Linked DNA regions of Macaca mulatta. The protein of the gene in region 4 interacts with the protein of the main gene of each other region in a pairwise test. Links are inferred from orthologs where the notes say so. Each region holds a gene or a part of one and is shown on either strand. Other genes may lie near its edges.

The links. The genes of interacting proteins can lie anywhere in the genome.
Region 1: the proteins of ARNTL2 (region 4) and EPAS1 interact in binary tests that used the Homo sapiens proteins (3 or more experiments, as listed by UniProt). The link is inferred for Macaca mulatta from reciprocal best matches to the Homo sapiens genes BMAL2 and EPAS1.
Region 2: the proteins of ARNTL2 (region 4) and NPAS2 interact in binary tests that used the Homo sapiens proteins (3 or more experiments, as listed by UniProt). The link is inferred for Macaca mulatta from reciprocal best matches to the Homo sapiens genes BMAL2 and NPAS2.
Region 3: the proteins of ARNTL2 (region 4) and CLOCK interact in binary tests that used the Homo sapiens proteins (3 or more experiments, as listed by UniProt). The link is inferred for Macaca mulatta from reciprocal best matches to the Homo sapiens genes BMAL2 and CLOCK.

What each region holds. Positions count from the first base shown.
Region 1 is NC_133418.1:78,484,885-78,488,405, forward strand, and holds part of EPAS1 (endothelial PAS domain-containing protein 1), read right to left. Parts: intron 2,030-3,521; coding exon 1,878-2,029; intron 1,466-1,877; coding exon 1,381-1,465; intron 1-1,380.
Region 2 is NC_133418.1:9,141,441-9,144,137, reverse strand, and holds part of NPAS2 (neuronal PAS domain-containing protein 2), read right to left. Parts: intron 2,442-2,697; exon of another isoform or gene 1,296-2,441; coding exon 1,115-1,295; exon of another isoform or gene 1-1,114. UniProt on the Homo sapiens protein: Transcriptional activator which forms a core component of the circadian clock.
Region 3 is NC_133410.1:78,053,812-78,057,332, reverse strand, and holds part of CLOCK (circadian locomoter output cycles protein kaput), read right to left. Parts: intron 2,745-3,521; coding exon 2,532-2,744; intron 1,483-2,531; coding exon 1,280-1,482; intron 1-1,279. UniProt on the Homo sapiens protein: Transcriptional activator which forms a core component of the circadian clock.
Region 4 is NC_133416.1:29,749,626-29,753,146, forward strand, and holds part of ARNTL2 (basic helix-loop-helix ARNT-like protein 2), read left to right. Parts: intron 1-718; coding exon 719-836; intron 837-1,771; coding exon 1,772-1,915; intron 1,916-3,521. UniProt on the Homo sapiens protein: Transcriptional activator which forms a core component of the circadian clock.

The sequences.
Region 1 (3,521 bases), on a different chromosome or scaffold from region 4:
GGCTCAGTCTGTAACAGGGTGGAGGTGAGCCAATGAAGTATCTGCTTTTGCAGCATGTGTGGTAATAAGAGCCAACCCTTGTAGGCTTAGCCTCACTGCCTCTGTTATTCAGGTTGGACAAGCATAAGCCCCATGGCAGTGACAGGTGATATTATTAAAGAGGACATCTAGACATGCACAGAATCTGCCCAGACCAGTGACAGAATCTCAGGTTTGGAAGGGACCTTGACAGTCATTAAGCCCCACTTCTGCCCAAAGCTTCAGTCCTCTTAACAATGTCCCTATTCATGCCTTTGTTGAATGGCCACAGTTACGAGAGAGGAAGCTCCACTGCCATTGCAACGTGCTTTCTGCCTGTGTGGGTCCTCTCATCCACTGGCACCTGCTGGGTATCCCCATGGGTAAGGTCCTGTACGCTAGATCTTTTTAAATCTCTTCTCCGTCAAAACCTACTTGACCTATGTCTCATCAGGGTACCATTTCCTGTGGTAGCTCATCTCCAAAAGTAGCTCCAACAAGCCATGCCTTTTGACACTCATGGCTTTGTGTAGTTTCCTCCCACAATGAGCCAGGGCTGTCCTGTAACATGCTCTAACCAACAACATGGGGCAGAAGTGATGCTCTGCTAATTTGAGGACAAAACCTTGGGAAGGCCTGGCAACTTCCACCTTAGTGCTTCTGGGAGCCCTGAGCTGCCACATGTCTGGCTACCCTAGAGACACCGTATGGAGAGGGAGAGTCTCTGAGACTCCATGGAGTGACAGAACAGTCCCATTGTCCCAGCATGCCAGCTGAATCCAGGGTTCCAGCCACCTGACACAAGGTCCCAGACATGTGTGAGCTATCCTGATCACCCCAGCCTAGTCTGGCCCCCAGATGACTGCAGCCCCACTGACATCACATGGAGTATAAGACCCACCCACTGAACCCACAGAACGCTGGGAGATAATCATCAAAGCCCTATGTTTTAGGTGGTTTGTTCCACAGCAATAGATAACTACAGTAGTTCCTATAAGCACTTTGGCACAGACTGGTTTCTCACTGGTTTGGGTGGTGTCATTTGGCAGAGATGCTTGACTCTTGGGTGATGAAACCTCCTAGAGACAGTGTCCTAACCCAAAAGAGTCCCCTAGTAGTGGGACACCAGGCATCATGTGGGGCCAGCAGGAGATACTTCTGAGTACCGGGTCCTCTCAATGCCCCAATCTCATCTCACAGGCTACACACTTAAACGGAGGGCCAGCCTAGCTAAATTTTTTAAGGACATCCATTTTTCCTGCATTGCAAGGCCATGAGCTATCTCCCTTATACTTGTAGACAAAGGGGAGGCAGATTCCCACCCAGTGGGGGCAAGAAGGAAATAAACACAATTAAGGATACCATTTTTGAGACTCAGGTTCTCACGAATCTCCTCGTGGTCGCAGGGATGAGTGAAGTCAAAGATACTATGTCCTGTTAGCTCCACCTGTTTCAAAAACAAGGTTAGGCATCATTATTCCTAACAGTGAAGTAAAAGACTCCAAGAGGAAGCTGAGCCACCTTCCAGATTTGGAGGCAGGGAGGAGATTGAATTGGGTTTTCTCATAATCCCAGTCCAGTGTCAGGTCCACAGACAGAAAGATGTAATGGGGGATTACTGATGACAGAGTCTGTTAATGAGTCAGTAGAGAGCTGTCTGCCAGGATGGACATAAGCAAAGCCAAACCCAATGCCTGGGGGTGGGACTGTGGCCTGAGGCATGTGGCCTGAGGTCAGCGAGGGTCACAGTGGCCATTTACAGGGAAAGGTCAAGTGGGATTGTGGCTAGCACCTTCTACTCATTTCTACCCCCAAATGGAAACATTTCTTCTTTTGAAAGAGATAGAGGGGGGTGTCACCTGTGTAAGTCCCATGAACTTGCTGATGTTTTCTGACAGAAAGATCATGTCGCCATCTTGGGTCACCACGGCAATGAAACCCTCCAAGGCTTTCAGGTACAAGTTGTCCATCTGCTGGTCAGCTTCAGCTTCAGACTCATTTTCAGAGCAAACTGGAAAGAGAGGGGGGCGGGACAGTTACATGAATGTGGAGTGAAAACAGATGTGACTGGCACAGATAGGCATTTGCCAGGGATGGCGCAAAGGCATCGGGTGGACTCTTCTGGAAACGCGCACTGCCGACCATCTGAATGTCTGCCCCAGCCCGGCAGCAGGCACTGGATGAGCACCACTGCACAGAGGACACCCTGACAGGGGCTGTGAGGACAGTGTGCTTGTTGTGACAACAGTACTTCTGGCACTAGCAACGGGAGCAGTAGGAGCTGCTGTGTGAGTGGTTCGGGGTGGAAGTTTTCCTAGGCTGCCCCCAGCAACCACCTGTACAGCCTGTAGACTCGGCTCTTGTCCCAGACCAAAAACACCTCTTGGGCCCCAGGTCTTTGGTGGTTATACACAGACCACCGACTTCATTTCAGCCCTTTTCTCCTAGTTCATTATTTATCTCCAAAGACATTTACTTATGAAAATTTGTATTTATCCAGTGCAAACATCAATCAAAGTATGCCTGAATATAACGGTACTCATAGAAGCAGGAACAAATTTTAGCTGCTAATATATACTGCAATCACAACATGAAAGGTACTGCACTAAGCATGCTATGTAATCTTCACAGTGACCTACGAGGTAGATACTATTCTTAATCTCATTTTACAGATGAAGTGTACAGAGGTTAAGCCATTTGTCCAAAGGTATAAAGATTGCAAAGTTAGCAAGCTTTGACAGCTGAATCCAGAAGCCACACTCAACCATTCATAGGCTTTGGAGTTAAACACAGGTTCTCTTCCTAGATCACCCTCCTATTAGGCTATGACTCTGAATAAGGAACAACCTCTCTGGATATCACTTTCCTCATCAGCTAAATGGGAATAACAATTTCCACCTCTGAATTGTAAGGATTAGATAAGTATGTAAAGTGCCTAAAACTATAACAACAGTAAATTCTTTCTTCTTTCTGCTCCAAGACATGCACTACCCTCAAATTGCTCAGATCCCGGGTGAGGAATATATAGCACTCAGAGATGCAAAGCTAAGTAAAAGTTCAAGGGTGTCATAGCTGGGCTTCCAAGGAAAAGTGTAGATGGGACGAGCTCTAAGGGTCAGAGGACGAGGGGGTCACTTTGGGGTGATCACAGACAACTAACTGTTCCAAAGAAGATTTGCAGAGACTTAGAAAAACAGATTTCACTCTGTGGAATGAAAGAAGGGCCTTCTGAACCAGATGGGATTGTGTGAGCACTGGAAAACCCCTGGAGCAAGCTCCCTCCTAGACTGAAGAGAGGCCCATCTGGCTCAAGAGGAGAATCCATCTTCCAGTCTCAGAGATTGGGCTGGTGAGACAGGCCCAGTGTCCTGGAGGGGCCTCATGTGTCAAGCAAATGTGATCAGAGGAGTACATCTCAAAGCACTGCTTTGGGGAGATTAGTCTGGCAATGGCATACAGAGTGGTTTGGAGACAGTGAAGCCCAGAGGTGCAGAACAGAGTGA
Region 2 (2,697 bases), on a different chromosome or scaffold from region 4:
TCCCCACCACAGCACTCCCACTCTTCCCAAATCCGAGCCTGACTGCACTCTGTGCTAACCCACCTTCTGCACCCCACCCCGAGGCCCCTAAGGGCAGTGAGTGGGCCGAAGAGCTCTCTGTATTCATAGCCTGCATCTTGTATGCAACAGGTGCGTGCAAACTTGTCTGTTGCTCATTTCCCATCCAAAATCACTTCTGGGTCTCGAGAACTGACAAGATCTGCAAAGCCAAAGTCTGAGCTGACTCCCACTATGCGTGGGGTCAGGGAGATCCGAAAATTACAGCACAGATGGCTTAGCAGCATTGGAATTAAACTACATTCTAGAACTTCAAGGACAGCTATCTTCATCGCTATCTACAGTACTCAAGAGGACTCAGCCTCTGCTCATTCTCCATGGCTTTGCAGGTGCAGGTGGAGCTGCAGGCCAGGGAGGAAGCCCCCTAGGACACAGAAGGGCTGGGTGAAAAGGGGCACCCTGCACATGGGCAAGGGAAGGCCAGGCCCTTCTGGAGCTTGGCAGACGCAGACGTGTGGCTCCCAAGTGAACCTCCCAACCAGTGGCTCTCACCCTCCCTGCTTTTGGCATACTTGGCACTTGCCTGAAGTGATTTTTGCCTTCTAAGTAGTGACCACATGTAAATGAGCTCCAAATTTTCCTGGCAAGCCCAATTTCACACATCACTGTATTTACTAAGGCAGGTTAGTGGATCTTTAACTAAATGTGATTTAACTTTATGTTTATATAGGACTTTATAAACACACTGAAAAGTCCAACATAGTCATCAATGTTTTTTGACTTCTGCTCTAAAAACTATGAACATGTCTAGATGCAAATCCTTGAGTAAAAACTACTTTTTTAAAAAGGAACCTTTTCAGCACATAATCACATAAGGCATAATAGCCGACTCGTAATTTCACATACTCCATAGATATAGACTTCATAACCTTTAAGCATGAAAAACAATCAAATGAGAATCTTTCTGGGGCTTACTTCTATACTAGGGATAGAACAACCTTGAAAGCAAGGGAATAAAATATCTTTGAGACTCGGGGTACGGAGTGTGGCCCGGCTCCCAGGCCTGCACGGGGGCCCCCTGGGCTTTGGCACCCACCTGCAGGTAGTGCTGTGGTGGCTGCTGCCGGGCCTGTGCAGGCTGCAGGGGTGACGGTTGGGAGGCGGGGAAGCTGGGGTGGAGCACTGCCTGCCCCATCAGCAGGACGGGCATCGGGGTGCTGCTGCTGTTGACAGGGTGTGCATCTGGATTTGGAAAGACGGTCTGGCTCTGTGCGTACCTGTTTCACGTGGGAAGGAGAAAACAGGTCCTTTAAGAAAGCAGTATTGATATGACACCCAAAGCATGAGCAACAAAGAAAAAAACAAGTAAGTTGGACTTCATAGAAACTTTTGGCCAGGCACAGTGGTTCATGTCTGTAATCCCAGCACTTTGGGAGGCTGAGGCGGGAAGATCACAAGGTCAGGAGATCAAGACCAGCCTGACCAATATGGTGAAACACCGTCTCTACTAAAAATACAAAAATTAGCCAGGTGTGGTGGGTGTCTGTAGTCCCAGCTACTTGGGAGGCTGAGGCAAGAGAATAGCTTGAACCCGGGAGGTGGAGGTTGTGGTGAGCAGAGATCATGCCACAGCACTCCAGCCTGGGCAACAGAGTGAGACTCCATCTTAAAGAAAAAAAAAAGAAACTTTTTTGCATCAAAAGACACTATCAACACTATCAACAGAGGGAAGAGGCAGCCCACGGGGTGGGGGAAGACATTTGCATATCACATATCTAATAAGAGACGGATACCACAATATATAAAGAATGCCTACAACTGCACAACAAGAAACCCAAACAACCCAATCAAAAAACGGGCATGGGGCTGACATTTCTCCAAAGAGAAGCTAGAAATGGCCAACACACACATGAAAACATGCTCAGCATCACTAGCCATTAGGGCAAAGCAGATCAAAACCAAAATGAAATGTCCCTTCACACTCATTACAATGGTGATTATCAAAAAACCAGGAAGTAACAGGTGTTGCTGAGGATGCAGAGACATTGGAACTTTAGTGCTCTGTTACTGGGAATTGTCAAATGCTGCAGCCACTGTGTTAAATGTTGGCTCTGTGTCCCCACCCAAATCTCATGTTGAATTGTAATCCCTAGTGTTGGAGGTGTGGCCTGATGGGAGGTGATTGATCGTGGGTGGGGACTTCCCCCTTGCTGTTCTTGTGACAGAGTTCTCCCTAGATCTGTTTGTTTAAAAGTGCGTAGCCCCTCCCCCTCTTTCTCTCTCTCCTCCCGGTCATGTGAAGTTGTGCTTGCTTCCTCTTCACCTTCTGCCACGATTGTAAGTTTCCTGAGGCTTCCCAGAAGCAGAAGCCTGTACAGCCTGCACAATGGTGAACGAATTAAACCTCTTTTCTTTATACATTACTCAGGCTCATGCATGTCTTTATAGCAGTGTGAGAATGGACTAATATGAATGTATGGTAATTCTTCAAAAAAATTAAACACACACAATGACCATTCTACCATATGATCCTGCAATTCCACTTCTGGGTATATACCCAAAAGAAGTAAAAGCAGGAACCTGAAAAAGATAATTGTACATCCATGGATGTGTATAATCATATTTTGGTTTATTGTGAATAAACCACTATATAATAAACAATTATTATAAACCATTATT
Region 3 (3,521 bases), on a different chromosome or scaffold from region 4:
TCTAGGTAGGCCTTCAAATGTTTACTAAGATGTGGTTTCTGTCCTCCTCCATAGATAGATGTTCAGGGAAACGCAACTTAAAACCACAGTTAAATATCACCTTACCCCAGCCAGACTGGCCATTATTAAAAAGTCAAAAAACAATACACACTGCTGGTGGGAATGTGAGATTTCTCAAAGAAGTAAAAGTAGATCTACCATTTGATCCAGCAATCCCACTACTGGGTATCTACCCAAAGGAAAAGAAGTCATTGTATCAAAAAGACACCTGCATACATATGTTTATCGCAGTACAATTCACAATTCCAAAGATATGAAATCAACCTAAGTGCCCATCAACCAGTGAGTGGATGAAGAAAATGTGGTATGTATACACCATGGACTACTACTCAGCCATAAAAAAAGAATAAAATAATGCATTCTGCAGCAACTTGGATGGAGGTGGAGGCCATTATTCTAAGTGAAGTAACTCAGAAATGGAAAACCAAATACTATATATTCTCACTGGTAAGTGGGAGCTAAGCTATGGGTACAGCAAAGGCATACAGAGTGATATAATAGACTTTGGAGGAGGATGGTGGGGGTGAGGGATAAAAAAACTATATATTGGATAGAATGGGCACTGCTCACGTGATCAGTGCACTAAAATAAGTCATAGATGGTTGTTTTTCCAGAGCAGGCCACAAAACCTTTCTGCAATAAATGTTTAAGCACTTGAGCATTGAAATGACGACACCAAGTTCTGTGTTCAGAGCTCCCTCCCTCATCACCTTAGCTAGCTAGAGACCCCTTGGCTAATTACTGAATATTCACTTTTTTCTTATCTGGGAAATAAAAGAAGGCCCTCATTTACATTTTCTTTTAATAAATGACAATTTGAGACAACATATTTTGAGCATTTAACAAACTTAAAGAAGGTAAGCTACCCTAACCACTGTTACTACATGGACATTCTCTAGCATCTATATTGAAAAGACAAAAGCTTCACAGTGACACAGAGCCTGTCATAAACCTTTTCTAACAATGTGCTGTAGAATCTGTATTCTATAATATCTTGCAGCATATTTTTGGACAAGAAACAAAATTTGTTGTTACCCTTTAATTATGAAGTCTTTAAACAATGAATAAATTATGTGTTTTTATTTCAAATTTAAGAACACTGGCTGCAGTGAGCAACACATTAAAGTCACATTAAAAAATTTGATTAAAAAATCAAATTATTGTTTTCTAATTAATCGGTTTACAATTTTCAAAATAACAAATGAAATATGACAACTACCTTATCTGCCTGTCCTGAGTGAATGTAGTTACTGCAGCACTCTGGGTGCTGTTTTGTGGCATACTAGATGGAATCTGGACCATGCTTCCGGCTGCAGGCTGAGAAATCACCATAGTGTTATACAGTGGGGCTGTAAGAGTGCTCTGTGTCTGACTGGGTAGAGATGTTTGCTGACTGTGCCCACTCAGTACATTTTGTTGACTCTGTTAAAAATAAAGAGAGATTTTATAGACAGATTAACTGAAAATAATCATTTGGGAAGTATGCTAGAATTCATCATTCTAACAATATGACAATATGACAGAGAAAGAAGTGGCAGGATATATTACTCTGGGAGAAATATAACCACAAAGGAATGACTCATGGTAATTGAGAATGAATTAGTCTTGAATATCTTGCTGGAAGGTAAGCTATGACTTTAGAAAGAAGTGTGACTATAATAGAGATGATATAAAATATACCCGAAGAATTTCTGTTAAATGCCCAAAGTGAATAACTAATTAGTGGGTATTTTGCTATTTTTCATTTAAATCCTTGGGATTTACAGTCACAGATGTACAATAATTGCCAATATTTTCTGGAATAGTCAATAAACCATTACTGCCCCCTCCCCCAACAGTCTATTCTGCACCAGCAGGCTTCCTGGTCAGCCTCTTGAGCAAGTCATACCTTTTTAACATACAGAAATAGTCTAAGTTATAGTAACTTGGTATAATTACTAGACTACATCTTTAAACAGATTGTGATATATTTTAAAGCTCGGCTGGGTGCAGTGGCTCATGCCTGTAATCCCAGCACTTTGGGAGGCTGAGGTGGGCGATCACCTGAGGTCAGGAGTTCGAGATCAGCCTGGCCAACATGGTGAAACCCCATCTCTAACAAAAATACAAAAATTAGCCCGGCGTGGTGGCGGGTGCCTGTAATCCCAGCTATTCAGGAGGTTGAGGCAGGAGAATCGCTTGAACCCAGGAGGCAGAGGTTTCAGTGAGCTAAGATCATGCCATTGCACTTCAGCCTGGGCAACAGGACGAAAACTCTGTCTCAAAAAAAAAAAAAAAAAAAAAAGCTGAAAATATTTGATACTAACATGATTAGCACAAAACATTTTCATGATCACTTTCAATGCTGTACTTTCTAAATATGATTAAATTTTGAAATGATATTTTATCATTAGAGCTTTATTTCTGTTTCAGCAATAGTGTGCATTCCAAACACTGACCACTCCATAGCCCGCTGTGCTCAGTAACATTACCTGAGTTGATGTACTACTCTGTAAAGTCTGTTGTTGTATCATGTGCTGAGTTGTGCCAATGTGTCCAGTATTCATTCCACTTTGAATCTGGTTAGTAGGAACAACTTGGCCTTGCATATTTATAGGTGCAAGTTGCTGGATGTTAGATGAATTTCCAGAAGAAAGTTGAACAGAACCAAAATTCAACCCAGGATTTGATTGCTGCAAAAACATCTTTAAAAATAAAGATTATGTTAAAATGAGCTTTGTAGATTGAAAAGAAGAATGAGAGCATTAAAAAGAAGGCAAAATCAAGCTACACGAGGTCGGGAGATCGAGACCATCCTGTCTAACACGGTGAAACCCCGTCTCTACTAAAAATACAAAAAACTAGCCGGGCGTAGTGGCGGGCGCCTGTAGTCCCAGCTACTCGGGAGGCTGAGGCAGGAGAATGGCGAGAACCCGGGAGGCGGAACTTGCAGTGAGCCGAGATCGCGCCACCGCACTCCAGCCTGGGTGACTGAGCAAGACTCCATCTCAAAAAAAAAAAAAAAAAAAAAAAAATCAAGCTATAAAGTACATTTAAAAAGCAAGTAACAAGGTTAAGTCACTTTGAAGAATTAGCAATAAATAATTAGTGAATAAAACACGAAACTTCATATTCAATCTTTCAGTTATTTTAATTCTATGTTTCCAATTGTTAGAAAAAGTGTAACTCGGTGCTACTCAGTCTGTGGACTGACAGCTCTGTATCACTTATCATTTATACTTTATAACATCAGACAGAAGTAGTTTTCACTCCGTTTCCCTTTACCAAAGTCATAGTCTCCTGGAGTGGTCCTGCTGGTTGGTCATGTAAGACTAATTTGAATCATACATACTGGTAGTTTAATAAAAATATTACTGATGATTGATTTATAAATTCTGTACCCAAGAGGTACCTAAAACTTGATGTAAAATATAATTTTTATATTATGGATTCAAACTTACTAAAATTTGGACTGGTAAAAA
Region 4 (3,521 bases):
GGGGTGGCCACTATGGGTCAGGGAAGGCATCACACATGAAGTAGGATGTCTGCGAGGCTTGGCAGAAGCGAGATGTAGAGAAGGGGAGGAAACATTTCAGGCTGGGAGAAAGAAGGGAGTCCCGAAGTCTAGGGAGTCAAAGGCAATTTGGCTGGAGTGGCCAAGGGATAGGGTAGGGGTGGTGAGTTCTGAGGAATGGGACTGTATCAGCAAAGGCATAGACCTGGGGATGCTGTGCATATTGGGAGTGGTGGAATGGGAAGTGAGAGGTATTCTGGGTTGGATTTTACTTATCAATAGTATGGTAATTTTTTAAACAGTATGGTAAATGTCTGATAAAGTCACAGATATTCTGTGATTTCTATATTATACTATCATGTAATCTCTTTTTTTTAACAAGGACAAAAAAGTTCAAAATAAATCACAATCATTTACAAGTATCATGTTAACAAGAGTTACAAGATGTAGCGGAATACTAGCAATTAGTGTTTGTATATGGTTTGTGTATATCCAGGGATGGTTCTATATGCATGTATTTTTTTCTGTCTACAAGTATCACCCCACTTTGAACACTAAGCTCATGTCACATAGTGTCGTGAACGTATCTTTGAGCTTGAGAAAAATCAACCTTTAACAAAAAAGGACATTTATTGTATGCATCAAGAAATGTAGAAAAAGCATGGTACTGATTTTAAGTGAATGTCTACCTTATGAATAGGCTAGTTTGACTGGACAAAGCTTATTTGACTTCTTGCATCCAAAAGATGTTGCCAAAGTAAAGGAACAACTTTCTTCTTTTGATATTTCACCAAGAGAAAAGCTAATAGATGCCAAAAGTAAGTGTCCATTTCTGCATGCTTATTATTTTATGTAAATGTAATGATCACCTAAAAGTTTAGCTACACGGTGTTTTTAATACAGCTAACTAAGCTTTTACCAAACGAGAATTATTTTGTAAACTTTACATCATAGTTAATATATATAGCTATATAGAAAATTCCTGTATTCATACAGACATATACAAACACAAATGCATTCATATGAAGATGCTTTGTTTGGGGAAAATATGATTCCTTCATATTTGCTATTTTTCGTATTTTTAGTAGAGACGGGGTTTCACCATGTTAGCCAGGATGGTCTCGATCTCCTGACCTCGTGATCCACCCACCTCGGCCTCCCAAAGTGCTGGGATTACAGGCTTGAGCCACCGCGCCCGGCCGCTATTTTTCATATACAAATAAAATCCTTACAAGAAAGTGTCATTTTGGATAAAAAATTGCTGAAGTTCCCATTATTTAGCTACATGCTAAAAGACAATTATCCTCTTGTATATGGATTAGGTCTTTTCTGTATGAAAGACCTTGTATAATTGCGTTTGGGAAGTGTAAGTATTTTTTCTTCTCTGAAAATGCCTAGTACCAAATAATTATATGAAATATAAAACAATTGATTCCTGTAATAGTTGAGGTTTTTTTCATTTTTTTCATTTAATTTTTATTTCATTTCACTTAAATTAACTTTGTTCTTCCCCATTTGGGGAAAAAAGAAAGATAAATTGCAAATGTCTATAAGTTATCAAAATGTGATTGCTTGACAAATACATTTTTTGGGTGTGTTTCACTTTAGGGTTTACTGTACAATCATGCCATTGCTTTAAAAAACTATTTCCTTTCTCAATAATAGATGATCAGAAAATGTTGGAAGATAAATTTCAAAATTATTTGACAATATTCTTTTCCACCTGTTCTCTCACCCCCTTCTGCTACAAAAGCTGGTTTGCAAGTTCACAGTAATTTCCATACTGGAAGGACACATGTTTATTCTGGCTCAAGACGATCTTTTTTCTGTCGGATAAAGAGTTGTAAAATCTCTGTCAAAGAAGAGCATGAATGCTTACCCAACCCAAAGAAGAAAGGTATCATTTTGAAATGTCAAGTGATGCAAAGAGTGGATATAAAATTAATGTCCTAAATATTTTCTGTACAGAAAAAATAAAATATATGGTCAAGGGAAATATTTGAATCCAAAAGCATCTTAAAAATAAGATTTTTTTTAAACCAAAATTACTTAGATTGGTTCATCATATCTTTCGAATTTATCAGGTAATTACATATTGTCTTTGTTACCCAAGATTTTAATGGTATTATTGAAATTGTAGTTTGGGGCCTATCAAATGGGAAAAAATCACAAGAGATAGAAATAAAACTTTTGCTATGAAACTTCATTATTACTCTTTAAAATATAAAAGTTAGATGTTAAAATAAAAAAGTCAGTAGTACAAGAGCCTGATCTAATTTTGGTGAAAGTTTCTTAAGATGTTCCAGGTGTGATTTTAATTTTTTATGAGATATTGATTCTTTGGTAAATTTGTTTTCTTATGATCCTTTGCTAGATTTGTCTTGCAGATATTTACTTTTTGAATTGATTAAATAGTCATCTATTTAACTTAATTGGGAAATTTCGGGGACTACAAAATGTCTCATGACTTTTTTGCCTAAGAGCATATTAAGCTATTAGATATAGGATTTCGTAGGCAAATTTCAACATGGGATTTGCTTTCCTATCCTTTAAAAGGATATTTATATGGAGCCACAAAATTCAATTTATTTACAAGTTTTGGTCAGAATGTTTTTTGACAAACACCTAAAATGATAATTGCTAATACTCATTTATTTAACACTTACCCCGTGCCAGATACTGTGCTAAGTAAGTGTTTTAGTCCTCATGAAAATACTATTCTTTTTAAAAAATTTTTCAACATTTATTTTAGATACAGGGACTACATGTGCAGTCTTGTTGCATGGGTATATTGCACTAAGGTAGTGAGCATAGTACCCAGTAGATAGTTTTTCAACCCTCACACCCTTCCCTCCCTTCCCCCCTAATAGTTCACAGTGTCTGTTGTTCCCATGTTTATGTCCTTATATGCTCAATGTTTAGCTCCTAGTTATAAGTGAGGACATGTGGTATTTGGTTTTCTGTTCTTGCATTAATTCACTCAGATTATAGCCTCCAGCTCTATCCACATTGCTACAAAGGACATGATTTCATTCTTTTTTATGGCTGTGTAGTATTCCATGCTTTATATGTAGCCCACTTTTCTTTAATCCACCATGGATGGGCACCTAGGCAGATTTCATGTATTTGCTATTGTGAACAGTGGTGCAATGAACATACAAGTGCATATGTCTTTTCAGTAGAATGATCTGTTTTTCTTTGGGTGTATACCCAGTAATGGGACTAAAGATTCCTCCCCAAGTTGTATTTTCTTCTAGCTTCTTTCACAGTCTTATTTCTAAAAAGACCCCTGCACATTGGCTGTGCTGAGGGGAAAATGATTGGGATAAACCTGAGATCATTGTGTGACAACAGTAGATGTTGGTGAATGAACAGTTTATTGAGTGCCTACTATGTGCTGGGTACTATGCCAAATGCAAAGGACACACTAGGGAGCAGGCAGACAAGTACTCCTGTAGTGGACCTTATGTGAGATGGCCCTCATATACTACAGACAGCCAAGA